3 linked regions of the Lonchura striata genome follow. The protein of the gene in region 2 binds, or shares a complex with, the protein of the main gene of each other region. Links are inferred from orthologs where the notes say so. Each region holds a gene or a part of one and is shown on either strand. Other genes may lie near its edges.

Region 1 (10,551 bases), on a different chromosome or scaffold from region 2:
GCTGTTTTAAAGAGAACTCTTACCGGGTAGCATTAGGCTATAGTCTTACACATAATAGTTAAGAGCAGCTTAGATATAAAGGTCCAGATGTTTTCCACATTTACTTCAATTGCACTGATTTCAATGGGAAGCCATATCACCTAGGCGATCTGGACCAAAGACTCTGCATCTTCTTAATTCTCCACCAGCAATTGGAGGCTGAATGTTATGAAACTGAAAATGATTAACAGGTCCCACTCAGCCCAGTGTGGTTAGGTTCTTTTTTGCAAGATGTCAGGCAGCTTTCACAGCATAATCTGGCTGTGAATCTCAAATCTGAAAACCCAACTATAGAACAAGGGAGTGAGAAGTATTAATGAACTCTAATGAATTGTGCTGCTTCTCTCCTCTGCTCATAAAGGGCCTTCACCACCTTTTGCACTGCAATCATTATCAACCTGTGGAACAAAAGATTATCACACTGGCCTTTGCTAATGCTGCACAGGGGAAGAGACAACTCTGCTGAGTGCTTGGGAAGTAGACAGAGAAACATCCTCCTTTCCCTATTTGAACTTGTTGAAATGTCATGCCTGTATGGGTGAGCACACAACTGGACACAAGCTGCCAGAGCTTCTAGAGGCAGCTTCCAACCAAAGGCTCTTTTGCCTGTACAACAAACTGTGCACATAGCTCTTGCCTCCTGGAAAGGAGACACCTGTTGGGAGAAGGATCCTCCAACCATTACTACAGTTACATGCACAAGTCCCTATCATAGCTCAGGGCTCTGTGGTCACCAGCAATTGCTTGAAATTCTTGCAAAAAATAGCAAGCCTGCTCTCCAACGTTCAACCTCAGCAAAAGTGTCTCTGAAGACAACAGCAAGTCTGTTGCCTTCGGGAACAGAACTAGATTCAAATGTTATTATGGTCTGGAGAACAGGTCAGAAACAAAGATTAATTTAGCACACAATGCAGGTTTCTAATACGAAAAAAAAAAAAAAATCAATGACCCCAGAAGCATAGCCAGGACTACAAGAAAACAAAATAGAAGTTCTACCTCTGGAAAATAATTCCAACATCAAGCACAATATACAGTGGAAGAACATCTATTTTGCTGTCTTGAAAATGAGCAGATACTTATTTTAAAAGAGATTCATCCTGCAATTAGTGTTCAAAATGATTGCCATCCCTGTTGGCAAGAGCACTGAGCTTTGCTATGGCTTTAAAAGGAGGGAAGTATATTCCAAATGAGTAGTCCACACTATCTGGAGCAGAAATAATTTCTTACAGACTGGCACTAGCCTGCAAGAGGGAATCCAAAAAAGGCACTGGAATACCAGAGACCTCAGTACTCCCATTGAAAAGAAATGACTCTGGTTTTCAGCTCTGTTTTAACTTCTCTCTGTTATGTGAGCACATCTCCCATAACAGAACTGACTTGCTACAAAATCAACAGAAATGACCTACAGAAAAGGCTATATTTTCCCCCTCCATTCTTTTATAGACTAGCTTTATTTGATGAATAAGAGAAACAGAGCCATAATTTTTTTTTATAAATAACCACTTACTCATATATAGTCTTGACAGATTGTTTTTCTGTTCATTTTTCATGACAGCATTTGCAAGACACTCTTCTAAAGCTCAGTGCTTGCTAAATGAAGATGACTACCCTGAATGAAAGTACCACTCAAGGGTTTGAAAATAATTTTATCCCAGGCTCTATGGAATACTAGTTTGGCCTAGAATAAGACACTAACAACTGCTTTGCTACTTTGGGGTCTACTTGCGCTACCTCATTAACTGTAGAGGCACTTCCTTGAGAAGTCATGGAAAATTTTTGCCATGAATTTGCAATAGCAATTACACAACATGAAATTAATTTCAAAAGATAGCACTTTGCCATACAAAATGTTACTGTCAACATACCAAGCAGTTGGCATGTCTACCACACAAGTCCTGAGCTAACCTCTCAAGTGTCTCCTCCTGAAATCCTGTTCAAGTCCCACATGCTCTGTAGAACATTACAGAGCTACCTTCACCTCCAGCTTTTACATTTTTTTCATATTTATTTTTGCTGTACCAACCACCCCTTCAGCCTTGATCTGGCAGACTTGCATGTAATACCACTCAATGACCTGTACTGTAAGGCACTTGGCTTCAAAGAACCAGAGCTCAAGAAGGCACAAATTTCCTCTTGTTTCTTTTGCAATGGTCTCCTATGAGCAATTAAATATTTTTTTGCAGAAGAAGGGGTCTGATGAGGATCCAGTTGTGAATGTTGGGGTGCACCAATCAGCAGCGTGCTCTCTGCTGCCCACCTACCCACATACAGGACTCCCTCTTTCGTCTTTCCTGCTGCCTCTGCCACACCCTGCTTGGTTTTTTCTGCTGCTGCTACGACTCCCTCCTTTGCCTTGGAAAGCCCTTTCATGAACACATCCATGGCTGAAGACTTTCTTCAAACAGCTCTAGAGAAAAAAAAAAAGAAAAAAAGTACACACTTTCAGTAAGGTTTTTTATCCCAGAAAGGGGAAAAATATTCTAACCAAATGGGATCACAATTACTTTTAAATTACATTATTTATACCACCCAAATTGTATAGCTATATGAAACAGATATCCCATTTCCACAGAATCCTATGGAGAGGTTACCAATAATGGAGTTCTGACTGGAAGATGGTTCCATTGAGATAAGTACCTTCCTTGCCTATGAAGTCATCATTTCTCCCAAAGGACAGTTCTGTTCATGTGCTGAATGCAAGATTTAGTCTTGTGATTTGATGACACTCCACCTCTCATCCAGAGAAAAAAGCCTACTTAAATAAACATCAGCAACTTAAAAACAAACAGACCAAACTGAAAACCAAAACACATAAATCAAAACCTCTCATAAATGACAAATGTTCACTTGTAAGAAAATGGCATTACAACTCAGGACTGGAGAAAATTAAAAATGCTGCATTTCCATTAGTCCAGCATTTTACACACAGTCCACATCAACCTTTTGGAAACTGAGTTTTCCTGAATGGGTTCCTTGCATGCATCACAACTGAGAAAATATTTTACTAAAAAGCAAAAGCAAGAACGCAGGATGTTAAAAGCACTGCACTAAAGCTACCAAGAGAGTCCTATCACAGCAATACAATCCAGTACTACACCGAAACCACTTAAATAGTAATTAAAACCCAGAATCACCGTCCCTCCAACAAATCCATTATCAGTCATCTTTTCTCTTCCTCCACCCACACAGACATGAGTGCTGCCTGTTATCTTCTCTTCTTTGCCAGAGGCTGAGTAGGAGGAATGCATGTCTAGGAAGGCATCTGAGGACGTCGCAGCTTTCCACTAACTCGTGACGACCGTGCGAAGGAAGGCAGCGTTTGTGCTCCAGCCAAGCTGCCCACGGTACCTGCCGCCCTGGGGATGGGGAAGGGGGGTGGGTGCCTTGCACAGAGCGCCGGGGGAGGCAGCACCGGCCCGCGGGACCCTCGGCTCCTCCACCGGCAAGGTGCCAAGGCCCGGCCCCGGGGCAGTGCCGCGACCAGGTGCGGGGGCACCGGGGGACCGCGGGTGTGCATCAAAGAGCATGGGCACCTGCAGAGGGAGGAGGGAGGAAGCAGGGCGTATGTGCGCATATATGTAGCTTATACATACACAAACATATAAATACATGCACGCGGCGAGGCACCTACCGAGGAAAGGAGAGCGGCGCGACCATATGGGCACCCTCGGGCTCCCGCGGACACGCCGTCGGCACACGGCGGACACGGCGCCCGGCTCCTCCTCCCTCCCCCGTGCCCACACGGGAACGTGCAACGGGACAGATCTATCCAGCTGTCTCTGGTATTAGATACACACCTATGGCTCCGTGCAGACGCGCCCCGCCCCGCCCGCACTCACCGCCGGGCTCCTCCGCCACCGGCGAGCGACCCGTTCCGACAGGCGGGGGCGGCGCGGCTGCGGGCGAGCGAGGCGCGGAGCGGCCCCTGCTCAGCACATCCCAAGGCTCGGAGCCCGCCCGCTCTGCTGGCACCACCCCGGCGGCAGCCCCGCAGGCGGCGAGAGGCGAGGGCGGGGGGCGGGAGGATGAGCCGCGGCGGGGAGGAGCAGCGGCTCTTGCTCCCTGTTGAGGATGCGCCCCCGGCCCGGCCCCCTGCGCCCGCCCTGTCACGTCCTGCGCGGCGGTGCGGTGGGAGGCGTGATAAACTGGGAGCACCTGTTTGCTGGCCTTCTGGAGAGAGAAGCAAGGGTTAAAAAGGTGGGTAGGGCGATTTGGTCCCCCTGGGACTCCGCACAGTCACCACTCCCTCCAAGGGCTGGAGAGCCTCATCTTAGAAGTGTAAGGAAGCTGTTGTTGCGGCACAGCCCCGAGTCACTTCACCAAAGCCTTACAAAATCTCCCCCAGCTTCTAATTCTTTTTCATCTACTTCCCAATCTTCAACCTTGTATGACTGCAGTTCAATGTCACTGTTCTCACAACATTCATGCTTCCAGTTCATTTTAAGCACGGGAGGTGGTGGTGCTCTTGCAGGTGTAATTCGAGTTTTAACTCTATTGCACACACAGAAGAGTATTCATCCCAAATGAAGAGAAGTACGGCCAGACTTGCCCAACCCTTACACCGTTGCTTGCATCTTCCTCCACACAATCCATGGCCACTGCCACCCAAATCTTAAACTCAGGCAGAAAAGTCACTTTCTCCCCAGAAAGGGAAACCTATCAAATTTCTCTATTTTGGTCACAGAATTTAAGCATGAAAAGCCAAGACCAGTAGGAGACAAGGCACTAGAACAGATGGACCTTCAGTTTCAGTACATCAATTCAAATCCTGCAAGACTTACAGAAACAGCTTGGGTTTTATTGCACTCCAAAAGGAGAAACAGAACATGGATGATACCAGGTTGTGAGCTGCAAGGAGTATCTTTCATCCATCATCCCGTGCAGACAGCTGATGCATCCCTGGTTCTCATGCTAAACATGTAGTGCAGGGTCTTGTTCTTGTCAGGTTTCTTTGTAAGTAATATTTCTGTATTGTTTGGTACACTTTATTTTGTTTCATTCTACTAGTAGTTTTAATCAACCAAGCATTAGGCAACAGATTTTATTTCTTTGTGTAACAGTGTTCAGACTGGTAATACACAGATGTATACAAATAAATAATTTTCTCATCATTCTGCCATCAAGAAAACCTTCAAAAAAGCCTAGAAATTGAATTACATAAGGTACCTCACCTCATTGATCCTGTGCAGCACATTTGTAGTTAGTAGTGCTAGATGTGGTATTTCTATTTTATTCCTATTTTAGGGAGAGGACAGTAAGTACAGTTCCAGACAGTAAATAAAATTTAATCAAAATCATATTCTTTGCACATGTTAACTGGCCCAATTTGTGTATCTTAGTATGTAAATTGGCTCTTTGAAAACCCTTCAGTCAGTCATTTTATACTACCCTGAGCAGAAAACTTAGACTCCAAATTAGAATTAAAACGAATCTCACATTCCTTATATAATTATTATCTTCCAGATTTAAAGAAGGCTTTACTTTTTCCATGCAAGTGACTATGAGTATGAAATGTTGTTTTTTATTATGCTGACATCAATCTACACAGACTTATTGTATTTAATTATGTTTGGAGGAACAGATAATCCTGTATGATAAACAACCTTGTATATTTATGGTTCTGTTTCTGAAAACTTTAGGAAGAAGAGCTCAGATATTTGCAACTCGTAGCTTTTGCAAGCAGTCTTTTTTTTGCCTTATGTTTATCAAAGACAGGCATTATGTTTTGCTGTTAAACAAAGTAACAGCTTGTCCTTTAACAAAATCATACAGCTAGAAATAGAGAGGTAAAGGCAAGAGGGATCAGTTGCCACAGTAGAAGTAAAGCTTAAAATTTCAGCTGTAGGATTCAAACTAGGCAGCTGTTAAATTCTAAATCATTGGTTAAGAGGCATAGTAAGAAAAAACAGAGTACAAATGTTGACACACGAAATTCTTCATTCTGAAAATGAATGGGACTTAGGTGGAAAACAGAATTAAATATGGTAGAGAATGGACATTGTATATCCAAGGCAATTCCTATTTAAACATTGTCTAAAGAGCTGGTTGGGGCTTTTTTTAGGTTGTCTCTTCAGTACTATTAGTATCACAGCAAGCTCTCCCCTGAAGCCTTTTCTGTCTGAAGAAAGGATAGTAGCAAACAGATTGCCCACTGATCACATTTAAAACAATTCTTTATTTAATGACACTGTTTACTTCACATGATCATCTAAAGCAAAAATCAATTAAGTAGTACTAAAATCTTCTTTACTTCATCTTGCCTTGCAGGCTAGCTTATTAGTTTAGTTGCTAGTGATCAAGTATATCTACTTTATCACTATGAAAAGAACAATTATGGACAATTGAAAAAGGTTGCAGAGTAAAATTGATCCAAATTTACTGATTTTGGGTTACTGACTCACACAGACTCCCTGTGTACCACAGGACTGATAGGTGATTGTCATGGTTTGACACGGAAAGAGAATTTTTTCTGGAAGGAAGAGGTCAATTTGGATATTGACCAATTGAAGGTGGACACGCCTCTGAGAACACAGAGGGGTTGAAAGCAGAATTCCCAGGGGAACTCGCTCTTATTGGTTCCGGTCAGCACGCAGTGCAGCCTCTCCCCTGCCCAGCCGTGGCTGTGTGGGGAGGGGAAGCCCCCATGGCCTGAAAGGTAGGCCCCAAGGGTGGTGGAAGGACTGGAACCGGGCTGGCCCCTGCAGATGGAAGGGTGGAAGAAATCTGGGATGTCTCCGTTCCCCCCCAAGAGTGTCTCTCCCGAGAGAGAGAGAGAGAAAAAGACAGCGGCAGTTTTGTCAGCATTTCCACCGTGAGGAAGGAGGAGCAGGGGGAGCTGCAAGGTGCCCAGTGCGTGGGAGCCACCGGAGTCTGGGCATTGAGCCATCCCTGGGAGTTCGGACTTTTAACCCTTCTTTGAGAAATTAAAGCTTTGTGAATTTTTCCTTCCCCTCCTCAGTTTGAAAAAGAGGAAGAGGGACACCTTGGACCCTGGGATGTTAGAAGGAGGAATTCTAGATGGGAGGGGGACAAGGAGTGGCTTTTGGCTGGACTTTTCCATATAGCCACAAACTGAACTAATCTTCTCCTCCAAGAGAGACTGTATTTTGGGAAGATGCGAGTGAGTCAAGAGACCTGCTTCAGCTGGGAAAAGACAGAAGTGGAGTGAACAGAGAAAAAGTTAGGGGGTTTGTGGTGGTGCCCCTGTCTTAAAAGGAAAGATAAGAGAAGAAGATCTCTGTTCTTGGACCCTCGGCCCTAGGGGAAAATGGGAAAATGGGGGGACTGTGGTCCAAAAAAAAAAAAAAAAAAAGAAAAACTGAACTGTTGTTTTCTCCCCTCTTGGCAAGGCATCCTTGAAAGGAAAAATCCTAAAAGCAGTCTGTCCATCCATGCATTGGTGGTGAGAGCACTGTACATGGAAAGGAGAAGGGTCACCATGGCAAACTTTTCTCCGGGCAGTGCCACGTGTGACATGGAAACACAGGATGTTCCAGCTGTGTTTCTTTGGGGGTGTGTGGCACAGGAGAGACTCCTGCCTCCCTCGAAGGGGCTGAGTATCGATTGTCTGGAGGGTGGAAACCTGATTGGGGTCCAGATTGTGTCTCACTGTGGTTTGTTGGAGTTGCGTGGTGGGAGGAGGAATGCTTTGCAAGGTTTTCATTTTTATCTTTGTGTGCCTTTTTTTTTTCCTTTTTCCTTTCTTTTTTTCTTTTGTAGTAGTAGCTTAATAAAGTTTTTTTCTGTTATTAAGCTTGGCCCTGCTTTGCTCTGTTCTAGATTCCACTTCACAGCATTCAAGGGAGGGATCACATTTTCATGGGGGCACTGGCATTGTGCCAGCGTCAAACTATAACGAAACCTCAGACGAAAGGTACTTTTGAAAACCTGAAAGCTGCAGTATGAAGGGAAGCTGTCTTAGGGCACTGTGTTCACAGTTCACATTGATTACACTGCTTCAAGGCTCTTCTACCAATAATTACAGCCTGGGGTTCCTGGGGTCTATCTGACCCTGGCTGCTGTAGGTGTCCCAGATAGCGAGGTACAGCTAAGCACAACCTGTCCAGGTCCCACAGGCAAGCTCCCATCCCCAGGCAATCTTAGCAAGCAGCTCAGTTCTTATGTGAGATCAGCTCTTTGGTGAATTCAGCTCTTCAGGATTCAGCTCTTTGCTTGCTAAGGTGCCCCAGCAAACACAGGGAGAGAAGCCTTCTCCTGAAGGTTGTATGAGGTTCCACAGAAGTGTCTTTATTGGCAGCTCCTGTGAAGGTGACAGTGACAGCTCTTCTGCTGAACTGGGTAGAAATGCAGGTTTATATAGGGTGCAGGGGTTTTGGAAATGGTCCAATGGCCAGGGTCGAGGCAAATATGGCCTTACAGAGAGGTAATGAGAGTCCAAAGGTGGAAGAGGGACTTCTTTGGTCCAGTCATCATGACTGGGCATTTCTTATCTTAGGCAAGTGACCGCCAGGGAGGCCTTGCAGGGCCTCTGGCTGCTAGAGCAGATAATCTGAAAATGGTCTTCATTGGATATGTACATTAACTGTGAGAAACTGTGAACAATTTACACACATATAGTTTAGTGTTTGGATTTCTTACAGAATAGTTTACTATATGGGTTGCTTTAGAGGCAACTAGGAGTTCAGATCAGTTTCCTAGACTCCTGCATCACGTTTGCATTTCTATTCCCATTCAGCTCCCTCTGGGAACTGTTGCCGTCTTTACTGACCATGCTATAACTACCTGTGTGCCCCTTTCTGAGAACTCAAAAATACACTCAATTGAAAAAAAAATATTAAGATGACTTCATTGTTGCTTACAGGTAAGCCTGAGATTTAGCAAAACATCTTTTTCTTATGCTCATAAGTGTTGTACTTTAACACTCCAGAGCAAACATGGTGTTCCCATGATGTTTACTCCACTGAAAGTTAAGCACATGTATTAAAGCCTTCATACAATCAAGAATCAACCCACATCAGAGTTAATTTCCCAGTGGAAGCATTCAGTTTATTAATTTAAAATTAATATTTGTTATTATGCAGCAGTCCCATTGCAAAGATTTCTGTTTGTAAGCTGTTTTGATAGCTATAACTGGGTGATGGGTTATTGTGGGCTGGGCTATTGGATGTCCACTATCTGTTGCCAAGAGATGCAAATAGAACTCCTCACAAACGTTTTAACTGATATAGACAATATGACATCCATATATTGTATTGGAGTACTTGGATGTATGTACACACCTACACACACAGATGTACATATACATATATTTCAGGAAGATTGATGTATGTCCCTCATCTGGTGGATTTCAGCTCAGCTATACTAATCTTGACACAACTCTAATCACCAGACAGAAGGGTCTCACAGCTTTATACACCTCTGTACAGGCAGAACCTGCCACACATTTACCTCTCTTTCACTTGCAGTCAATGGTGAAGTTACAGAGCCATCACAGCTTTTATAAGCAATGGTGACATTTCATTCATTAATTAATCTCTCTGGGCTAGAAATTCAGCCCTAAAGGGCGCAGAAACTCTGTCTGTTGCACCTGAAACCTTTAGCAAAGTTTTACTCTGAAAAGCAGTATCTTGAGTGCCAAGGAAGCCATCTGGCAGCATGTTTCTACTCAGGGACAACCAGATGAGGCTGACCTAAGGGTGTCTGGCAAAATCAGTGTTGATTATTCTTTAAGATGTTTCCCACAGAATTACAGAATATGCTGAGTTGGAAGGGACCTCACTGAGTCCTTCTCTTAGCCCTGCACAGGAACATCCCCAAGAGTCATACCATGTGTCTGAGAACATTGTCTAAAGGCTTCTTGAACTCTGTCAAGCTTGGTGCTATGACCAGTTCCTTGGGGAGCCTGTTCCAGTGCAAAACCCCTCGCAGGGTGAAGACCCTTTTTCCTAATATCCAGTTTAAATCTCCCTGATACAGCTTCAGGCCATTCCCTCAGTCCTATCATGGGTCACCACTAAGAAGAGTTCAGTGTTTTACCTCTGCTCTTCCCATCACAAGAAAGTTGTAGGCTGCAGTGAGGTTTCCCCTCAGTCTCCTTTTCTCTAGACTGAATAGGCCAAGCTGCATAGCACCAATAAATTGATTTTACCTGAAAGAAACAATCACCTTCCTCATGTGCGATGCAATGTGTTATCAGCACCTCATATAACTGAAAATGCTAATACTAAAAAAGTGGAAACCACCAAGCCAGAGTCAGGTCTAACATCTGTCTTATACAAAGTTCTGTTTGATTGAGAAGCCAGCACCTGATGGTTCCAAGGTCAAAGATAAGACAGCATGTTCTAAAGTAGCCTACTGCAAATATAGGCATCTGAGCCAGTGCAGGCACAGCACATTAATTACCTGGATGGCAGCATTTCTCAAGAGATGCACCAGGAAGGCAGCAGCTTAAATTAGATACTACAGTTAGTTACCAGAAAACTGTTTGAACAGGTGGAAAACCCAAACAGGAGCATACTTCATTCTATCAAACTGTCTTCTTTCTGTAATTTT
Region 2 (9,417 bases):
CATCTTGGCAGGACACACTGCTGTCCTTAATGTTGCTCAATGGCAATGACAGCAATTGATATAAAGCACTGCATGAAACTCAGCCAAATGGAAAGGAAATGACAAGCTAAAGAGACAAATATATGGCTTAAGTCACATGCAGCAATGGCAGGTGCCTATTTGAGCCTTTGTATTTCACAGTGCTCCTACATATCAAATAAACAGTGCAAGAACAGAAACAATACATAGCCTGGCCATGTAACCCTTTGGGAAGATAATTTAAAAAAGGACCTAGAAAGAACAAGCAACTGGTAGTTCACTTTTGTTAACATAACTAACATTAACATACTTGAATTTCCATGTTCCTTCCCTTTTAAATTGAAAATGTTACCCAATTCTTTGCCATTGCTGAATGCTGACAATTGTTAATTTATAGGTAGATAGCTGAGAAAAACAAAATTTCAAGTCCCTGTTATGGGATGAAAGGAAGAAAGCACTGAAATTCCTTCTCAGGTATTCTTGTTCTGCAGCTGATTTTGCCAGAGATGCTACAAAATGTGTAAACAGCAAGACTAAGTTTTGTAACTGATATAATCTTAAGTAGGAAAAGTTACAAAAATACAAAAGATACAAAAAGCCCATTATTCAGCAACTATCTGAAATTGTTTCATGGTTTTCTATATGCTTCATATAAAACATAGTAATAGTCTTACAAACAAGCCCAGGAACCCTCAACATGAGAATAGTTCCATTCAATTTGAGACCAAACAAGAACTTACCATAAGCATCTTCATCTGGCTCCCCACTGCTAGCTGAGTAGTATTCTAAGACTGTTCGGTACACACTGTAGCCTAGTTGTTTATACATATTTACAGCAACCTGATTTGATACTCTCACAAAGAGATCGACAAAAAATCCGCCCTTTCTTTAGCAGGGGAGGAAAAGAAACAAACAAAACTACATTAAGAAACGGCAGGTAAATGCATTTCTAAGTAACAACCCATAAATTGTAATGAAACCAAAGCAAGTCCAATGTAGTATACTAATTAAACACCTTTGCCAATGTCATAACAGATATGCTCCTTTACCAAGGGAAAAATCAATTATAGACAAGGATTTAATTTTATTTTTGTCACATGGCCATTCTACATCAGGCAGTGAGTTCAGAAATTTGATCAGAAAGAACAAGACAAGTTAAATGCACTCACAGGCCTAAATACAATTTAGAAAGTGTCCACATTTTAGATGGCTTGGATTAGGAGGAGTGGAATCAGTCACAAAATTCAGCTGCCTAACAGGAGATGACAGACCCTTAATTTCACAAGGCAAATTTTTCAAAACATCATGCTACTTTTCAGTAGTATGGAACTAACCATAGTGGGGTTGCCCTACCAAAATCAGTTAAGGACATTTGACATTTCTCAGTGGATTCATCTGACACTAAATTAAATTTTCTCAGGTACAAGTAATCAAGCACAGGATGGCAAGTAAACTAAGATACTCTTTGCAGTATAAAATTTGTTCAGGCACAAAGCCTACGGTTACTGAACAAGAATGTTGGAGAACCTACAGGAAACAGTGCTGATATTTCACAAAGCTCTTTTCCTGTAAAAAGAAATATTCTTTTATATGGTATCTCTACTGGAATTCAGGCTATGCCCTCCTCACTCTGGCAAGTTAGCTAACCCTGAGATTTTAAACTGCTAAGCAACTTTCATAACTCTTTTTCTCCAACTATGAGGAATTTCAGAAAATCAGAACACCGTGTAAAGCAAAATTCTGCCACATAAAACCAGGGACAGGTTTCTGTAGAAATACTACTTTTAAATGTTATTTTAAAAGATGAATTTAAGATAGACATACTACTCACTTTTCTGAAATTTCTTCAAGGAGCTCCATCAATTTAGCAGCCAAACCCAGCCGTCGAAATTCTGGTGCAACAGAGAGAGCAGTAACGTGTCCATGCCATTCTTCCCTAGCCACAGAGCCTTCGGCTTTGCCCATGACTGTGAACACAGAGAGCATCAGCACAGCAGCACCTTTGGAGTAATGCACTGCCCGCAGCCAGACAGCTTCACAAGAGGAATAAACCATGGAAAAACACACATTACAATGACTGTGAGAAAGGCTAGAACAGAGATGTCTACCTTTTCACTCTAAATTCAGCAGCCACTAAAAATGTCATTTTGCTCAAATATTACAGCGGTTTTTTGACTAGTGCAAAAAAACACTAAACAAGTTTGCAAATTCCTTCCTTGAGGTGACTTCTAAATGCAAATTTTAAGTAATTTTCACAAGTCTCACCGAACCAAAATTTAAGATCTGACTGAAATAAAGGAGGAATAGAGGGCTAGGAACCAAAACTACCATCCCAGCAACTATTTGAGACTTTTGGAGATTATGGGGGAAAACAGCTTGGGAAGCTTTGCTGGTCTGGCAATAGAAAGCTAAGACTCACAAACCCAACGTGTTTAAGGAGAACAAAAAAAAAAAAAAGCAAAAAACAAATCACAAAAAACAACCAAACCCCCCCCCAAAAAACCCCAAAAAACCAAAACAAAAAAAAAAGTGGAGGTGGGGATGGTGTTTTGGGGGGCTTTTTTTTAGTTTCTCTCCTTTCTACACTGGGCCAGTCCAGTGTTAGTTTATTAATGAACATTCACACTTCCACCCTGTGCTTTTATAGATATCACAGTCACTGCTAGTAATCAACAAGTGTGGTGGGTACAGAGAAATGTTCTATACAGCACACATACTTTCAGCTTTAGTATGTCAAATATTTTTAGTTCCTGAGTCCCTACAAAAACCATTACTTCTGTCCCACACCATCTCCTGGCAGTTCTCTTTGGCATGATTTCTGAAAAACACAAATATTCCACAGCAAATTAGCAAATGACATCCAGGCCCAGAGCTTTCCCTTACAGGGCAATGCAAAATCCAAGCCCAGCACTTTCAGTGACTGTGGGTAGGGACTTAATTTCAGATTACAGAAATACCCATTCACCAAATACGGGTGGATGATACCACAGCAAAGGCTCCTCGCTGCGCTAGGAACATCAAACTGGAAGCTACGGCCATGAGTCCTGCACAATACCCTAAGACATTTAAGAAACGGGAAGACGCAACGCAAGGTTCCTCTTCCATGTTGGACATTTGGTAAACGCGAAGAAAAGCTCCCGCGTTATAATCCCCGAAATAGGCAACGAAGGGAGACGTTACCGCCGGAACACCCGGCACTCACTGTAACCCATCAGCTCCCCGCCGGGCGCCTCGGCGACGATGAAGTACTCGGGCCAATGGGCGAGGTACTGCAAGTAGAAGGGAATCCCGTACTGGCCGCTCAGTTAAGGAGCAATTGCGGCCGCCACGGCTGCGCCGCCCGCGCCCGGTCCCGCGCCCCTGCCCCGGTGGGAAGGATACGGTCTCGGTCAGCGGGTCCAGATTGCTGTGGGGGAAGAGAGTGTGGCGCTCAGCATGGGCCCGGGCCCGGCCGGCCGGCGGGGCGCCGCGAGCACCCCGCGGGGTGGGGAAGCGCGCAGGGCTCGGGGGCAGGAAGAGGGGACAGCCGGCGCTCACATGTTGTTGAATCGGAAGAGGTCGTCGCAGGTGAAGGCGCGGAGCGTTGTCATGATGATGGCGATCACGACGCTGACGCTGAGCGCGACAGTGACGAGTGCCCCGGAAACACTCGCGGGCCCAGGAGCCGCTCTCGCGGTGGAAAGGCGGCAGACAGCGCCCCCGCCCCTACGCAGCCCTGTCCCCGCCCGCTGAACCGCCCCGGCCCGGCCGCGCCTGAGCCCGCCGCAGCGCGCCGGGCCGAGAAGGGGCGGGGCTGCCTGGGGGACACGGCAGAGCCGGCCCGCAGTGCGGCGCGGCGGGGCAGGGTCCAGCGCGGCCACAGGAGCACGAGTGCTGTGAGCTTGTGCAGCTCCACCCCGAGCACTCACAAAGCTACACGTAACGCGACGTGACCGCAGTATGCGAGACTACCATACGCAGAAAAACAACTCTGCACCTGGAAAGATGCCACCGGACGAGATCGGACACACACTGGAACTGCCGTGCCCAGCACATGCTCGCCTCATGTGGAATGAATCCCACAGCTGCTCTCAGCACCAAAACATCACTGATGCTGAACGCCCCTCACCACTCTCCACTGATTTCAGCACCTTGCTCGTCCCACCCTGCAGTCTTTCCACCTTGCCCTCTCAGACCGCTGGCCCATCAACTTCGCTTTCAGAGGGCTGTGAGTCAGAATTAATCCTCAAGAAGAACAACACCTATTTAACTGGGATGCTGCTGCCATCAGCAGTAGGTGCCTCTTCATGATTTGCAAAAACACAGGCTGGAGGTCATGCCAGCCAACATGGACCTCTTCCACAAAAATACTGTCCACAGTAGTGGGCTATACTCCACTCACCTGTTGCACAGCATCTCTTGCATCACCCAAAAAAACAAAGAAACAAGATGTCCATGAGCATAAGCATATGCCCATAAGCATTCACCTACTCCACATGGCCTGCTGTGCCATTCCTCTCACTTCCATTCAAATGCTGAGCTATTTCTGAAGTTATCACTGCAAGGGACCCAGATCACTCTAGTTATTGTGAAGGAAGGTTTGCCCAAAAGTTGGAGGCTATACTGCGGGTTTGGTTTTTGCCCTTTAAAGTTCTGCATGCGATGCAGTGAATGGAGTTTGGGTACATGTTTTGGGACAATGAAAGAGGCCTTTCTTGACCTGGAATTTATAATCATGAGATGCTGGCAAGGGTACTTCAAACAGAGTGTAGCCTGTCAGATTCGAGATCTGTCAGATTTCTGATAATTTAAGGGTCAATGTTTTGGTAAGAAAAAGTTGATTCAAGGTCTGTAGTTGTGGTGCAAAAGTGATGTGGGATTTCAGAGTTGCCAGAAGCAGGAAGATACTGGATTGTGGTGGAGGTATGAAGGGATATATGAAACGTGGGAGATGGAATATACCATTTTAAGGCTGGTTCTTGAGCCTTTGAGGAGTTAGGAAATGTATAGCTTTATAGCCCTCTCCTGCTTGAGGCACTCTTTTACTGCAGAACTACAAGAATAATATAATACACCCTTAAGAACAGAAAAAGCTCAACCGTTCACTTGACTGTCGTGGCTAAGACACTCGCTCCAGCCAAACTGGACTTTGGGCTGCTTTGCTGTACTCAAGGTAAAGCCTTTGCTTCTGAAGTGCTAAAAAAGGCACTAAAAAGTGCTAAAAGGCACTTTTTTACTGTGACTGAAATTGGTTCAAAAACTGGTCATGGCTAGAGTGGTCTTTACTATTATCAAATTAATTCCCAATATTGTAGCATAAGCCAACATATTCTACTCAGTGAGTTTGAGTTTTTATTTTAAATGACTACACATCAATATATAGTTCTGCTAGTATGAAAACTATGCAGGTCAAATCTTGTGTGGCTATCTCTGCTGAGTGAAGTACAGGTGAAACAACTTTAGGCCTTACTTAAATGTAAGTACAGAGATTATTAAAGACTTCCTTGTTGCTGTTCTCGACCGACTCCGGGCGGGCGCCGGCGGGACACAGCGGGAGGGGGAGAGAGGCGGCACCGCTTTCTCCCCTTCGGCTCTGCGAGGCTCAGTTCTAGCGCGGGAACAGACGAAATGGCGACGCGGGACTCGGGTGCAGACACGTGTTTATTGTGGGAGCGTGTCCCCGAGACACCGGGACAGCGACCGGGGGTCGGTTATACCCCGTGCCGGGGGCGGGGGGAACCTGAGCCGCAGCCAATGGGACAGGGCAGGGGACAGGGGCAGGGAAACCGCGGGGACAGCGAGGGGAAAAGCGGCGGGGCAGGGACCGGACCGCGTGGCGAGGGGGAAGGTCAAGGGAACGCAGGAATGGGACAAAGGACCACGGGAGGGAGGGGGAACGCGCGGGAAGGGGGAAGGGGGAATGGGGGAAGAAGGGAAAATTACAAACTCCCGCACTTCTACCCCTTCCCAATTACCTTTTACTATATATTACAAGTGGAATATCATTCAGTCCCAGCTAGGATGTGTGGAGTGTAAATTAAGAGGTAATTTTAGCACTTCTATGAAGACAAAGATGATTTCACCCTTCAGAGAACAAATATTTTCCACAGCTAGTTTTATTTTCAATTACACCAAAATCAAATGTTGACAAGTAGTGTCTTAAAAGCTACAAAAGCAGGATTTCAACCCAGCAACAGATTTAGAATCAACTCTATGTTCAATTACAAGTCACCATCCAACAGAGACCTTCCCTAGAATGTTTAATGTTAGCAATTTTCACTGTACATACTCAAGGTATGCTGTATCTCAAGTATCAGTAGAATTTTGTCTAAGGGACTCATCATTAAATGAAGACATCTGCATATTTAGAAGAACCATAATTATGGTATTACTGGTATCAATTACTGTGAAAAGAAGCAGCTGTTTCTCAGCAGAGAAAAGTGATGGCAAATGTGAAGAGGAATAATTAAATACGTGTGTTGTATTAAGTGTGTGGCTTAGGTAGGATTTTATTGGTTTGTTTGGTTTGGTTTTTTAAAGTGCTCTGCATGATCCACCATCAAAAGATGCCTGTATGAAGACCAGTACTAGCATGGTTGATATTACAGGAATAGAAAAGTTAAGCATTCACACTGTCAAGCTCTAATTTGAATCTTATATTTAAAAAAAAAAAGCCAAGGCCCATACATTTAGATACAGAATTGAAATGTTTCTACACATCTTAGAATACAACCAAATAACATGTTACACTCAGGTTATGAGAACCAGCCTGTTCTGAAACAATTTATGAAGTGACAAAGTCCACAGCAAAGCTACTGCTTTACTTCCATAATGTAAACACATCTGAAAGAAGTATATGCTGACAGTTTCACAGATGAGATTATAAATCAGTAAAACCAAAGCAATTGGTCATAAAAATCTTTTGTCTCTTATGAGACCTAGCTTACAAGCTCAGGCTGTACATTTATTCTTCGAAGGACATCTTCTGGCATACAAAAGACAGGATTGACGGCCTTGATTTGTTCTTCTCCTAATAAAGATAGTCCAGCAATACCAAATAAGGTGTGAAATGGATCCACCTGGAAGAAAAAAGAAAGCTTGTGTCTGTTTCCAAAAGTCGATTTGTTTTTCACTTGTATGAAATGAAATTTTCATTTGCCAGCAAGAGAAATTAGAATCTCCACAGCTTCTCTGGGAAAGACAATACAACTAAATACACTTTCATTTGTGCTAACATGACCTGACAGGCAAGAAATTTCCATAGCAGGTATTTACAATACGATGATTTACTCAGGCATGCTTGTCTATTTGCTGCTAAGACAATTTTCATCTCTGAGATAGAAAGCACTCACATTTGTCTATTAGCATGCAATATCACAGGGTGGTAGAAGCAAAGATAATTAACATTTTAAAAGTAAACCGGATCATCTACAGGTACCACTTCCATAAATTCCCCATTTGTTCTTCAGAAATATCATAATGCTCTTTATTGGTTTCCAAATACAGAGCTGTGCTGTAAAACCTTGAGAGAGAGGCAGCAACCTATTATGTCAGAAAACCTCCCACAGCTATAAATAAAACCAAAACCCCCCCAAACGTCTACTCCTAAGACCACCACCCCTCTCTCCCCTCCCCCCCGCCCCCAAACAAATGAATTAACAACCCAAACACAAAATACCCCAAAACAAGGTCTGTTAGGACTGAGTTTCTACAGGAATAAAGCAAAAACCAGGAAGTCAACATTTCTACAGAAGTAGAATTTTCTACACTTCAGCAATCAAAGACAGGTAAGAATAATATTAAATTACTGCTAATGTAACATAGAAAAGCTGTCCCAAAGGTGCTCTCCTTAGATATAGAGAAAAGCCTCTTCAGAGTTGCTCTTCCAAGAAGATGCATATATTTCATTACTCAAAGCTAGAAAAGCATTTAGACTTCAAGTTCCGGGCTTTTCTTCAAGAATTCTGAAAACAGAAAAGGTCTTCCCATAAGCTCCTTAGAAACTCAGAACTCTTCCTATTTTAAGAACACAAAAACACTTTCTAAATGACAGATTGGCGTTAACAGATTTCTCCCCCAACTGGGAATAAAGCAGCTGCTTGCAAAAAAATAAAGTTACTTTATTTTTGAATGCATTTGTGGAGAAGGGAGCAGATATGGGCAGCTGCAATAAAAACAGATAATACCTTTCCAGACCATTAAAAATAAGCCAAGTGTTCAACAGGAATGAAGTCTCACAACACTTCATATTTTATCTGTGCAGCATTCTTGAAAGATAAAAACTTTATCTGCCATTTCACTGGGACAATATTAATTAGTTCCACTTGAAATCAAAGAGAACAGACCAGCTAAATCGTAACTTCTCTCTCAACAAGCAAAAAATTCATAGCACCAGCCTCTTGATGATGTTATCTCAAAAGCTTCTTCCTCAGCTAGACAAATGTCAACTACAAGACTCATTCAGTGGCTGGGCTAGCAAAGAATGAAAGTTAGTGTATAGGGATTCTAAATAAAAATTCATTATTTAATTAGATCAGACAAAACAACAAGAGAGCTGAAGACCATTTAACCTACACCAGACTTTAGCTTGCAGATCATTTCACAAAACAAAATAATAAACCCAAAGTACCCATACATGCACTGGAAAACCCACCACCAAATAGAGTGTTTTTAGACAGATCTTCCAAATGGTCTTGTGAGAAATGGTTTGTGTTGCGTGTGTTATGGGGGACCAAACCAGATTTTGTAAGGAATGGCAACAGACTTCACTGGGGGATACCTGTGTGTTGTAAAGAATGCACTCCCCAAGTACGCCTTCAATGGCAACTCTTCCCTATTCTTCCTTCAGAGTAAACTGCAGCCTCTGCAAAACCTACCTGAACCATGAATAGAGTTACTCTCAAACAAAAGTTGAAATCTCGAGTTGAAATTTTCATGTGTATTTTGTTTAGAAAAAATCTCACCATATCTCCCGGTCTGTCAGCAAATCCTCCAGTCTCCTCATCCTGGCATGCCAAAATAAAGCAGCGCAGTTTCTCTCTGTCAATCCACTGTATCCTACCAATCATCTTCAAAGATGCTAGCACCCACCACGAGTAACATACATCAGGTAACTGGCAAGCAGAGAGGAAGATTAAATATTTGCTTGGGTTTCAAACATAACACTGCAAATTTTACTGGCAATTCTGCACATTATCAGGTGCACTATCATAATACTCTTGTGGAGACACAACACTTAAGAGTGTCTTTGGAGTAAAAGAATTTCTTGATAGCGTCTCTTTACAGTGGACTTCTGTTTTCAGGAAGGGAAAGTATCTTTTTCAAACGTCTTCAAGAAACAAGACCACAAGATGTGATTTTTAAAGACTTCATCTTCTGTGAGAGAGGCTGACAAACCACAGCACTTCTTTCAAGAGGAAA
Region 3 (9,558 bases), on a different chromosome or scaffold from region 2:
GCAAACTCCCTTTTCTGAAGCTGTTTCACCCCTTGATCGTTTCTCCAGCAGTTCACCAATAAATTTTGGTGCTATCACCCACCAAACTCCACAATAAACATTGGTACCACCACACCACACTCCCCAAGAAGCTGCCAGAAACAACAACTGTTCAAGCTGCAGAAAAGCAGGACAGGAGGTCTGGCATCTTTCAGAAAAGCACAGGAAACTTTCCTCCATCACTCCAACGCTGATGATTCAGTATTTTGAAAACACAAATCACTCCGAGGAACCTGACAAAGCTGATGTGGCCAAACTGGGAGGTGCGGATTCCCCTCCTGGTTTTCACCACTTTCCTGAGGCCTGAACCCCTCAACTACATCACACCTTGTGGGATTTGTCATCTCTGTCACTCTACTGGCAACAAATTCCAGTAGTTTCATCAATAAATGTGAACTCCCAGGTGTGGATCATTATCAACACGCTTCACTTAGGAGCTGCTACACAACTGAGTTCAGAACAAGCCTGAATGAGGATTCTTTTGCTTTATGAAAATCACTCCAGCCTTACAGGCATTACAACAGGATCACTTCAATTCTGAGTCTCTTAACAGTCTCTCACATACACAAATCCTGGATTTTACACTTTTCCCACCAAACTGTGGGGCACAAACCTTCCGGAAGAACACAACTAGAGATTTCTGGGAGAGGAACAAACTCACGTCTGTGCATTTCCCGGTAGAGAATGGTCAGTGCTTGCAAGGAATTATCATCTGTGGGTTCAAGTGCTGCTACTTCTTGTGCCAGGGCATAGGCTTCATCCTGCTTGCCAGTCCTCTGCAAGCCAATGGCCTTCAGCACCTGTGGACACAACACAGGCAGCTCTCAGAGACACAGTCTGCATTTGGAAACCCTCTCGCTCCTGCTGGGAACAGCCCAAGCACCTCATTCCCTCTGCACAACTCCAGGATTTATTAATCTTTTAATCCATATGGCTGGACAGGAAAACTCCCAAATGCAACAGCATCAAAGAGGGGATCTGACTTCTTAATAAATGCTGAGGTTGCCCCGAGGTATCATCACATAATTTCTCTACCTGGAAGCTGTAAACTGACCTGTCCTGGCAATTTTCCTTAGTTTTCTTTCACTAACTGGCCAGAGAGAAGTGACATAAACGAGAATCAGGTCAATGACACTCTCTGCAGCTTGGGAAGCTTTCAAAATGTAGAAGTGGAGTGAACTGCAGCAGGAAACCCCCAGGGAAATGAGAAAAGCAGAAAGAGTCACACGTTCAGAAAAGGGAGGAACAGAATCCCTTTCCCTCAACAGGGTCACAGCGAGGAAGGTGGACAAGGAAAACAGCAAATGCCTCCAAAATCATGGAATCCTGGAGTGCTCTGGGTTGGAAGGGACCTTAAAATCATCCAGCTCCATTTTTCATGGACCAAGTCTCCCCAAATTGGCCTTGAACAATTCCAGGGATGGGGCATCCACAGCTTCTCTGGGACACCTGTAATGTCTTCCTCAGACATTTCCTCCCAAGGAGATGTTTTGATCCAAACTCCCGCAGATGGCTATCCCAACCCCAGAACTCCAAGAAGCATTTTTAAATCCCAGCCCATGTGCCAAGGTCACCTGGAGTGGTGCTGACAATCAGCCCAGGTGGAACCAACACTCCAGTCCCTATCAGGTCATTTCCAGGCAAACAAGATGAGCTGGAACAGAGACATTCCAGAGGGCTCAGAAATCACTGTGGAAGCTCCCGGAGAAAGGGACAGTGGAACACCCCGAGACTCAGGCAGAACGAGCTCAGTGTCCCCCAGTCCCACTCACCTTGGCACAGTGAAGGTCCTTGTGCTTTTTGAGCAGTTTATCTGCTTGCTGGATTGCCATTTTATTATTGCCATTATCGAGATAATCTGCAGAGGAAGAGCACACACAAAATCACACCAGAACACCAAGGCCATTCTGGAAAGCCACCTCCAATTTTACCATGGAGCATCAGCTGTCACACCAGCAGCAAAAACCACATTTTCCCTGTGCAGCTTCTCCTAAGCCAAACATTCAGGAAACTGTCATTTCAGGGATGAAGGATTCATCTCATTGTACTGGTTTTAGTCACTCAAACAAACAAGCTTTTGTAATTACTCCACACAGATCATTACAGCAACAAAAGAGACACATAATAGAGAGGATTCTGCAGCAACAGCTCTTTGCTGGCAGTGCAGCTCCAGTGCTTTAGCAGGAAAAGTAGAAATTAATTTGGTGTGTCTTTGGGAGACTTTCAGTGACTTTTAACAGGCAGGAAGTTAGAAACCAAATACATACACACCAGCAAAGTGGGAAACACTTGTCTACAGCATCCATACCTCACAGGCAGAGCAAACCTGTCCCCCTGGAGTACCACTACCCTTCCACCAGGCTGGTTTTGAAGGCACAATTGTGAAGCATTAGTATTTCCTAGGGAGACATCCCACTATCTCCAGACCATTTTCTCCTCTTTTAGCTCAGAATCACAACTTTCAGATTGATCTTCACATCATTACACAATTACAAACAAGCAGTTTTAGACCAGGACACAACCCCTATATGCTCCCCTTCCCTCAAAAATCTCTCTTTCCTCAGCTAACCCAACTTTGCTGCCCCTCATGTGCCAAGGGAAGGAAGGGGCTGCTCACACTGCTCTGAGCTCTCTCCTGCCAGTTACCTGAAATTACATCACACACCTTTACCTCGCCAAACCTGTCATTCCCATTATGAGCCAGAACTTTTTTACTGAGGGTAATCCTCAGCACGAATTGTGCATCTATTCTGATTCACAGATTTCTGTTAAACAGCTCCCACATTTGCTCCTGTGGCCAGGTGGATGTTGCATATTTAAAGCAGAGTTAATTGGGCTCTTGAGCCCATCCACAGCAAACCTCTCACTAGTCAGCCTTTCCACACTCACCAAAATAAACACTGTGGCATGAAATCCAGTTTGAAGCCACAAATTTCAACTTAGGAAACCTCTGTGGAACCTCTAACATTAAAACTTTGGGGATTTCTCAGTGAAGAGGTTTCAAAGGTGTGGAACAGCACATCAGAGGCTTCTTGCTTTAAGGCTCTGTCACCCAGCTTAGTGACACACAAATTATCCCTCATGCTGAGCTGCCTGACTGGGATTAACAGCTGTGCCAAGAACATCTCAGCTTTGGGTGTTCCAAAGTAAATCAAATAACCCTCAAACCTCCCAAAAACACAGCAGAATGAAGAGACTGTATTTTCCTAACGAGTCAGGTTTCTGGAAGTCAAAGCAGCTTCCAAAGGAAATGAAGCTAAATGAAAATAAATTTCAGCCAGCGCTAGTTCATAGGTGGGGATGTTCAAAGGCTGGAAATGCACCACCTGAACCTTCAGGTGAAGGGAGAAATGTCAAGATCAAAGAGAACCAGAGCTGTCGAGGAATCCCGGGGAACCACTGCACAAACCCAGGCACACCTTGAAATCCAGAGGCAGACCTTGGGCCTCACAGTGCACCTCCCCAGCTGCTGAGGAGGGGAAGTTGTGTGCGTTTATCACACGCTTTATTTTGGTTTCTGCAGCACCACAGCCTGAGAGCAAATCTTGCACTGCAGAGAATCCTTCCCAGAACGAGCAGAAAGGAATTCTAAAGCTCTCTCCAAAATGAACGCAGCGAGATGCTCAACATCACCTGCTTTGGTATCAGCTGAATTTACTCAGCTTTTTATATTAGAACCATTTCTTACACAGGTTACGACAAGAACAACTGTACGTCAATGAAACTGCCAATCACAACACGGATGGAAAACTAAGGGGGGAAAAAACCTTAAAATCGTTACATAAAGACAAACGAACTTGAACACCTCTAATCGAACAAACCCATCTTGCTCCCTTCCCCTGGAACCCACCACGGACTCAGCCTGTACTGCACCATCCCTCTGCCCCAGCAAAGGACATCCCAAAGCACGTCCAGCCCCAAACCAGGGCAGCTCTCCACGGTTTCCATCCCTGCTGAAAAAGTTAAGAACGCTTTCCTCAATCTCTATCAAATCTTCAGTTCTAGGGACGAAACGATACCGTAGCCCGGGGAAGCGTTTTCCTTTTATTTCTCCATATTTGCATAGAGCCAAGCTTTGCCTACAACCTCCGAAGCAACCCCAACAGCGCAGAACACCCTCGGAAACATTCGGGGGGGACACAACAACGCCGGACAACTCCCAACGACACCGTCCCCTTCTACTTCTCTCCCGCCTCCCAATTAACTCCCCCAACAGCGTCACCGCTCCGTGCCACAACATCCAACCAACACAACTCCGGGGCACCCGCGGCTGCTCCCCCGGGGGTTCACCCATGCCGGCTGCCCCGCGGCAGCGCACACAGCTCCGGCCGGGGTCACCTGGGCTGCGCTCCCCCCAGGCCGAGGGGCACCCCGGGGCGCCGCGGGACCCCGGCCCGGCCGGGCGGGCGCAGCCCCGCGGGGCCGGAGCGCGGCAGGGCGGCAGGGGGGCTCGGGGGGCGGCGGCGGGGCGCGGGGTCCGTACCGTAGATGGGCCGCAGCCGGCGGTCGTTGGGGTCCTGCACATGGCCCCGCGCCGCCATGATGAGAGCGCAGAACGCAGCGCGCAGCCGCGGCCGGGGGCGGGCAACGGCGGGCGGGGCGGGGCGGGCACCGGCACCGGCACCGGCACCGACACCGGCACCGGCACCGGCACCGACACCGGCTCCGACACCGGCTCCGACACCGACACCGACACCGACACCGACACCGGCACCGGCACCGGCACCGACACCGACACCGGCTCCGACACCGGCACCGGCGCCGGCACCGGCACCGGCACCGACACCGGCTCCGGCACCGACACCGACACCGGCACCGGCACCGGCACCGGCACCGGCACCGGCTCCGACACCGGCACCGACACCGGCACCGGCAACGGCACCGGCACCGACACCGGCACCGGCACCGGCACCGACCTGATCTCACCCGACCCGACCGACTCGGAGATCGCCACCCGCTCCCTCAGCAGGCCGGCACACCCGCGCCTGGCGCCCCCCGAGCGGTCCCCGCAGGGCCGCGCTGTCGCTCTCGCCGGTGCCGCCCCCGGTCGGAGGCGGCGGCGGGTGGCCCGGTGCCCGGGGCTGTGAGGGGAGCGGGCACCGCACGGAGCCATGGCCATCGCGGCCGTGCCCGCCGCCGAGTCCCGCCTCTGTGGCAACTGGTGAGCGCGGGGTCGGTGAGGGACAGCCCGGGGTCGGTGAGGGACAGCCCGGGGTCGCTGAGGGACAGCCCGGGGTCGGTGAGGGACAGCCCGGGGTCGGTGAGGGCCGGGATCGGTGAGGGCCGGGCCGGGGTCGCTGAGGGGCAGCCCGGGGTCGGTGAGGGGCAGCCCGGGGTCGGTGAGGGACAGCCCGGGGTCGCTGAGGGCCAGGGTCGGTGAGGGGCAGCCCGGGGTCGGTGAGGGACAGCCCGGGGTCGGTGAGGGCCGGGCCGGGGTCGGTGAGGGACAGCCCGGGTCGGTGAGGGACAGCCCGGGGTCGGTGAGGGACAGCCCGGGGTCGCTGAGGGCCAGGGTCGGTGAGGGGCAGCCCGGGGTCGGTGAGGGACAGCCCGGGGTCGGTGAGGGCCGGGCCGGGGTCGGTGAGGGACAGCCCGGGTCGGTGAGGGACAGCCCGGGGTCGGTGAGGGCCGGGCCGGGGTCGGTGAGGGACAGCCCGGGTCGGTGAGGGACAGCCCGGGGTCGGTGAGGGCCGGGCCGGGGTCGGTGAGGGACAGCCCGGGGTCGGTGAGGGCCGGGCCGGGGTCGCTGAGGGTCGCACTCGCTGAGGGCCGAGCCGACCCCGCCGGCACATCGGGGTGCAGCTCCTTGGAAGGCGGAGAAACACCGGAGACGACCGTAGGGCCTTTCCCGTAAGCGCCAGGGCGTCGCGTTTCCCTTCTGATTTAGTAGGGAACTGAAATAGAAACCGAAACATTCGGATGGAAATCCAGGCTCGCTTTTCAGTGGGGCCCGCGCAAAATACACGATTCCAAGTTTTTTCTTCAGCGGTTCCGCGGCTCAGGAGGAGAAACGCGAAAATAGGATCAGTAGGCAGTGTTGTCAGTGTTGTTGTGGAAGTTTTTTTCTTTGATTACTCCTTTCTGCAGAGCCCAGTGGCTGGTAAGGAGTCACTTCACAAGTTGTGTGTTGAATTCAAGCAGATAAAGAAATAAACTTTTTTTGTAGTTGTTTCTCCCCAAGAGACATGAGAATCCAGACATTTTCTTGCAACATAAGCCTGGTTTGTTTGGTCAGTCGCTGCTGTTGGACTTCGTTGCTTTGCCAGGCTTTTGGCTGCCTGGCATCTGGCAGGGGACAGAAAAGCTGTGGTTTTAGCAAACAAAAGGTTATAAAATTAATTTAGGTGTTTTCAAGGTGGATTTCTTGGAAAGGGCATGATCCGTGTAGAAATTATGCTGTGTGTTTGAGGCGGGAGTAAGGACTGAGCTCCAGGTGCCTCAGTTCCTTTTGGTCTTTTTGTGTTTGGGTTCAAGACAGAAAACGAGCATATTAAAAATGTGGCGAATTGGGGAATTTTGGAGCAAAATGAGGCGAGTTGGGGAGTTTTGGGGTGCAGAGGAGTGTTGTTACTGCTGGGGCTCTGAGCAGCCTGGTCTGTGGAGGTGTCCCTGTGAGCTTTAAGGTCCCTTCCCACCCAAACCATTCCATGGTTCCATTATCTTGGAACAGGATCTGTCAGGCATAAAAAAGGCACTGTTTGCTTTCCAAAGCACTGTTTGACCTCTCAGAGCCAAGTTACTTTCAGGAAGAAACTTTTATCTTCTCAGACTAATTTATTAACTTGATCCCTGGTGATTACTTGTTTGTGCTGCAAGATTTCCCTTTCACATAAGGAAATAAATCCACCTGGATTTTATCTGAATGCAATGTGACTTTTGCATGTTAAATACATTAATAGCCACCTGTGCTGGAAACCTGAGGCCTGGCTGGGCCTTTTTCTAATCACTTTTAGCCGTGAATTCATTGAAATCTTTCTTAGCATTATCTTTTTGTTGTGAACAACTTTTTGTATTTGTTGTCAGTTTGTTTCTGCTCAGTAACCTCTAGCAATTTTCTCACAGCAAAAAGGATATTCCTGCAGTCAATTTCATCATCCATGAAATCCACTGTAGAAGAAATATTGAAATATGCCCCTACTGCAGCGACTCCATCCCAAAGTCTGAGATGAAGAACCACATTGATTCTGAACATGTGCAGGTGAGAGACATCTCTGCTCTGAAGCTGCCATTTCTGTGGAAATTCCCCTAATGAGGTCTCTTTGCTGTAGGTCACCTGCAAATGTAGGATGAAGATGGAAAGCAGCCTCCTAAAGGACCACGAGGTTGGTGGATTTTATATTCTTGAACCCTTGGGGGATGCTCTGGTGTTTCACTGATTCCAGAGCCTTTGGATGCCAGCATCCAGGTTTGTACATCCTTTTGTTGAGTGATGCTTCCTGAACTCACACCCTCTGGGAGAAGGGATTGGAAACTGCCCTAAAGTCCTGGAGCCTCTCAGGGCTTCATATCAGAGGGGTATCTGTGGTAATTGGTGAGTTTTTTGTCCTTGTCAGTTGAAAAATAGCTATTTAAAGTATGATTGACTTGACTTTTTTTCATTCCTTTACTGTTTCATGTTTCTCCTGAAGCCATTATGTGACTTCTAATAACTCAATCTGTCCAAACAGGCTTTAAAAATAGCCCGTAAAATAAACTAAAATAGGCCAGAGTGGGATTTTCTGAGTTCTGAATCCAGTTGGCTGCTGTCACAGACAATCTTGTTATAAATGTTATCCCTTCCTGTGGGCTCCTTTAGAGACAACTCTGGAGCTGCCACCTCAGCCTGCTGATTGCTGAGGAAAAAAGGATTTTCTGTGGAAATCTGTCCAGTTCTAAACCCTGGGAGTAGCTAATCCTGCATGTGGTTCTTCTGGATTATAAAGCAAATGATGATGTTTTATTAGTGCAGGTTGGTCATTAGTGCAGCATCTGCAAATATAATGTATTTAATTTAGTTTTAACCCCTTTTGAAGGGGGTTCAGTGTGGGGTGAAAAACATGTCCAAGCAGTTCTTGCTGAGCAGCAAATGAGGTGTGAGTTGGTTCCCTAAAAACGAGTGTGGATTTTAGCTGTGCTCATGGAATGCAACTGGATCTTGGGTCGTATCTAAAACCCAAGTCCAGAAATCACATCCTGAGTGTCTGAAGAGCTTCAGCTGCCCAGTTTGTGCCTCCAGCACATCACTGTTGCATTCCCACATCGTAGCTTGCTCCAGGTTCCTCCTTTGGAAGTGGCTGAGGAAATTCCCTGGGAAGAGTAACCCCGTGTGTTTTCCCAGGCGTCCTCGTGCCCCCTGCGCCCCGTGCTGTGCCAGTTCTGTGACATCCAGCTGGCCTTCAAGAAGCTGCAGGAGCACGAGCTGTACTGCGGGGCCCGGACCGAGCCCTGCGGGCGCTGCGGCCGCAACGTCCTGCGCCGGGAGCTGCCGGAGCACCCGCGGCTCTGCGGCGGCACCGCGCCGGCCCCCGCCGGGGAGCGCGGAGCCGGGAGCGGCCGGCACGGAGCAGGTACAGCAGGGGCTTGGGAAGAGCCAGAGCGGGAAAAGGAGATTTAGAGCGGCTGTGGGACACAGCTCCAGGGACAGAACCCCTAAGGACAGAATGTTAAGGGACCAGAACCACTAAAGAGAGAATGTTAAGGGACAGAACCACTAAGGACAGAATCTTAAAGGATAGAATCCCTAAAGACAGAACCTTAAGGGACAGAACCCCTAAAGGGACACAATTCCAGGGACACAACTCCTAAAAACAGAATATTAAGGGACAGAACCACTAAGGACAGAATTAAGGAACCAGAACCCTTAAAAACAGAATTTTAAGTGACCAGAACCTTTAAGGATAGACAGAATCTTAGGGGACAGAACCACTAAAGACAGAATCTTAAGGGACAGAACCCTGTAAGGGACACAACTGCAGGGACACAACTCCTAAAGACAGAACCTTAAGAGACAGAAGCCTTAAGAACAGACAGAATCTTAAGGGACAGAACCACTAAGGACAGAATCTTAACCAGAACCCTTAAAAACAGACTCTTAAGGGACCAGAACCCTTAAGTGGACAAAGGAAGGAAGAACTGGCTGCTTTTTGTAGCTGGTCTATGTGTGAGGTTTTGTGGTTCCTTTCTGTGAAAATACAGGATAGTGAATGCTCCAGAGGCTCCAGGTGGAAATGTTTACCCATGGAATGAGGTGCCTGGGATAAAAGCCCAGTTGCTTCTTTTTTTTTTTTTTTTTTTGTCTCAAAGTACCTGGCTTAAAAATTAAACTGGAGTTGTTTGCTCCCTGTAATTTGGGCTAAAATTTGGGTTTTTCTCCATCCTCCTGGATTTGTTGGAGGTGCCCTTGGCTTTGAGATGCTGAACTCCAGGGAAGCTCTGGGGCTGAGTCTGATGTCCAGGGGGAGCTGTTGGTGGCTGGTTTGATGTTCTCCCGAATTTACAGTATTTGTATTTCGTAGGAGATGAACAAGAGAGACCCGAAAT

The links.
Region 1: the proteins of NAA20 (region 2) and SNCA are in contact, whole or in part, in a cryo-EM structure (PDB 7STX), measured with the Homo sapiens proteins. The link is inferred for Lonchura striata from reciprocal best matches to the Homo sapiens genes NAA20 and SNCA. Residues at the interface, in NP_057184.1 of Homo sapiens: Leu23, Thr24, Glu25, Tyr27, His73, Val74, Thr75, Ala76, Leu77, Ser78, Leu110, Phe111, Tyr137, Tyr138, Ser139, Ala140; in NP_000336.1 of Homo sapiens: Met1, Asp2, Val3, Phe4.
Region 3: the proteins of NAA20 (region 2) and NAA25 are in contact, whole or in part, in a cryo-EM structure (PDB 7STX), measured with the Homo sapiens proteins. The link is inferred for Lonchura striata from reciprocal best matches to the Homo sapiens genes NAA20 and NAA25. Residues at the interface, in NP_057184.1 of Homo sapiens: Thr2, Thr3, Leu4, Arg5, Thr8, Cys9, Asp10, Leu12, Phe13, Phe15, Asn16, Asn19, Leu20, Pro22, Leu23, Thr26, Tyr27, Gly28, Ile29, Pro30, Leu33, Gln34, Leu36, Ala37, His38, Pro40, Glu41, Pro49, Glu52, Met54; in NP_079229.2 of Homo sapiens: Ser226, Glu227, Ile228, Asn259, Asp261, Asp262, Trp263, Gln264, Arg318, Arg321, Leu325, Lys362, Pro363, Cys364, Thr367, Asp368, Val371, Leu457, Thr459, Glu460, Leu461, Ser504, Ala506, Leu510, Leu532, Asp533, Lys535, His536, Ile537, Gln538.

The regions. Positions count from the first base shown.
Region 1 is NC_134606.1:53,436,727-53,447,277, reverse strand, and holds the start of SNCA (alpha-synuclein), read right to left. Parts: upstream 4,044-10,551; 5' UTR 3,837-4,043; intron 3,796-3,836; exon of another isoform or gene 3,671-3,795; intron 3,380-3,670; exon of another isoform or gene 3,225-3,379; intron 2,795-3,224; exon of another isoform or gene 2,677-2,794; intron 2,447-2,676; 5' UTR 2,422-2,446; coding exon 2,301-2,421; intron 1-2,300. UniProt on the Homo sapiens protein: Neuronal protein that plays several roles in synaptic activity such as regulation of synaptic vesicle trafficking and subsequent neurotransmitter release.
Region 2 is NC_134611.1:4,011,077-4,020,493, forward strand, and holds the start of NAA20 (N-alpha-acetyltransferase 20), read right to left. Parts: upstream 3,735-9,417; 5' UTR 3,609-3,734; coding exon 3,556-3,608; intron 3,425-3,555; coding exon 3,400-3,424; intron 3,312-3,399; coding exon 3,221-3,311; intron 1,986-3,220; coding exon 1,850-1,985; intron 905-1,849; coding exon 759-904; intron 1-758. Other genes in the region: RABGGTB (geranylgeranyl transferase type-2 subunit beta), read right to left, coding at 6,936-7,076, 8,961-9,110. UniProt on the Homo sapiens protein: Catalytic subunit of the NatB complex which catalyzes acetylation of the N-terminal methionine residues of peptides beginning with Met-Asp, Met-Glu, Met-Asn and Met-Gln. Proteins with cell cycle functions are overrepresented in the pool of NatB substrates.
Region 3 is NC_134620.1:11,681,731-11,691,288, reverse strand, and holds the start of NAA25 (N-alpha-acetyltransferase 25, NatB auxiliary subunit), read right to left. Parts: upstream 4,612-9,558; 5' UTR 4,581-4,611; coding exon 4,523-4,580; intron 1,898-4,522; coding exon 1,812-1,897; intron 840-1,811; coding exon 701-839; intron 1-700. Other genes in the region: TRAFD1 (TRAF-type zinc finger domain-containing protein 1), read left to right, coding at 5,151-5,200, 7,102-7,237, 7,308-7,361, 8,357-8,585, 9,534-9,558. UniProt on the Homo sapiens protein: Non-catalytic subunit of the NatB complex which catalyzes acetylation of the N-terminal methionine residues of peptides beginning with Met-Asp, Met-Glu, Met-Asn and Met-Gln. May play a role in normal cell-cycle progression.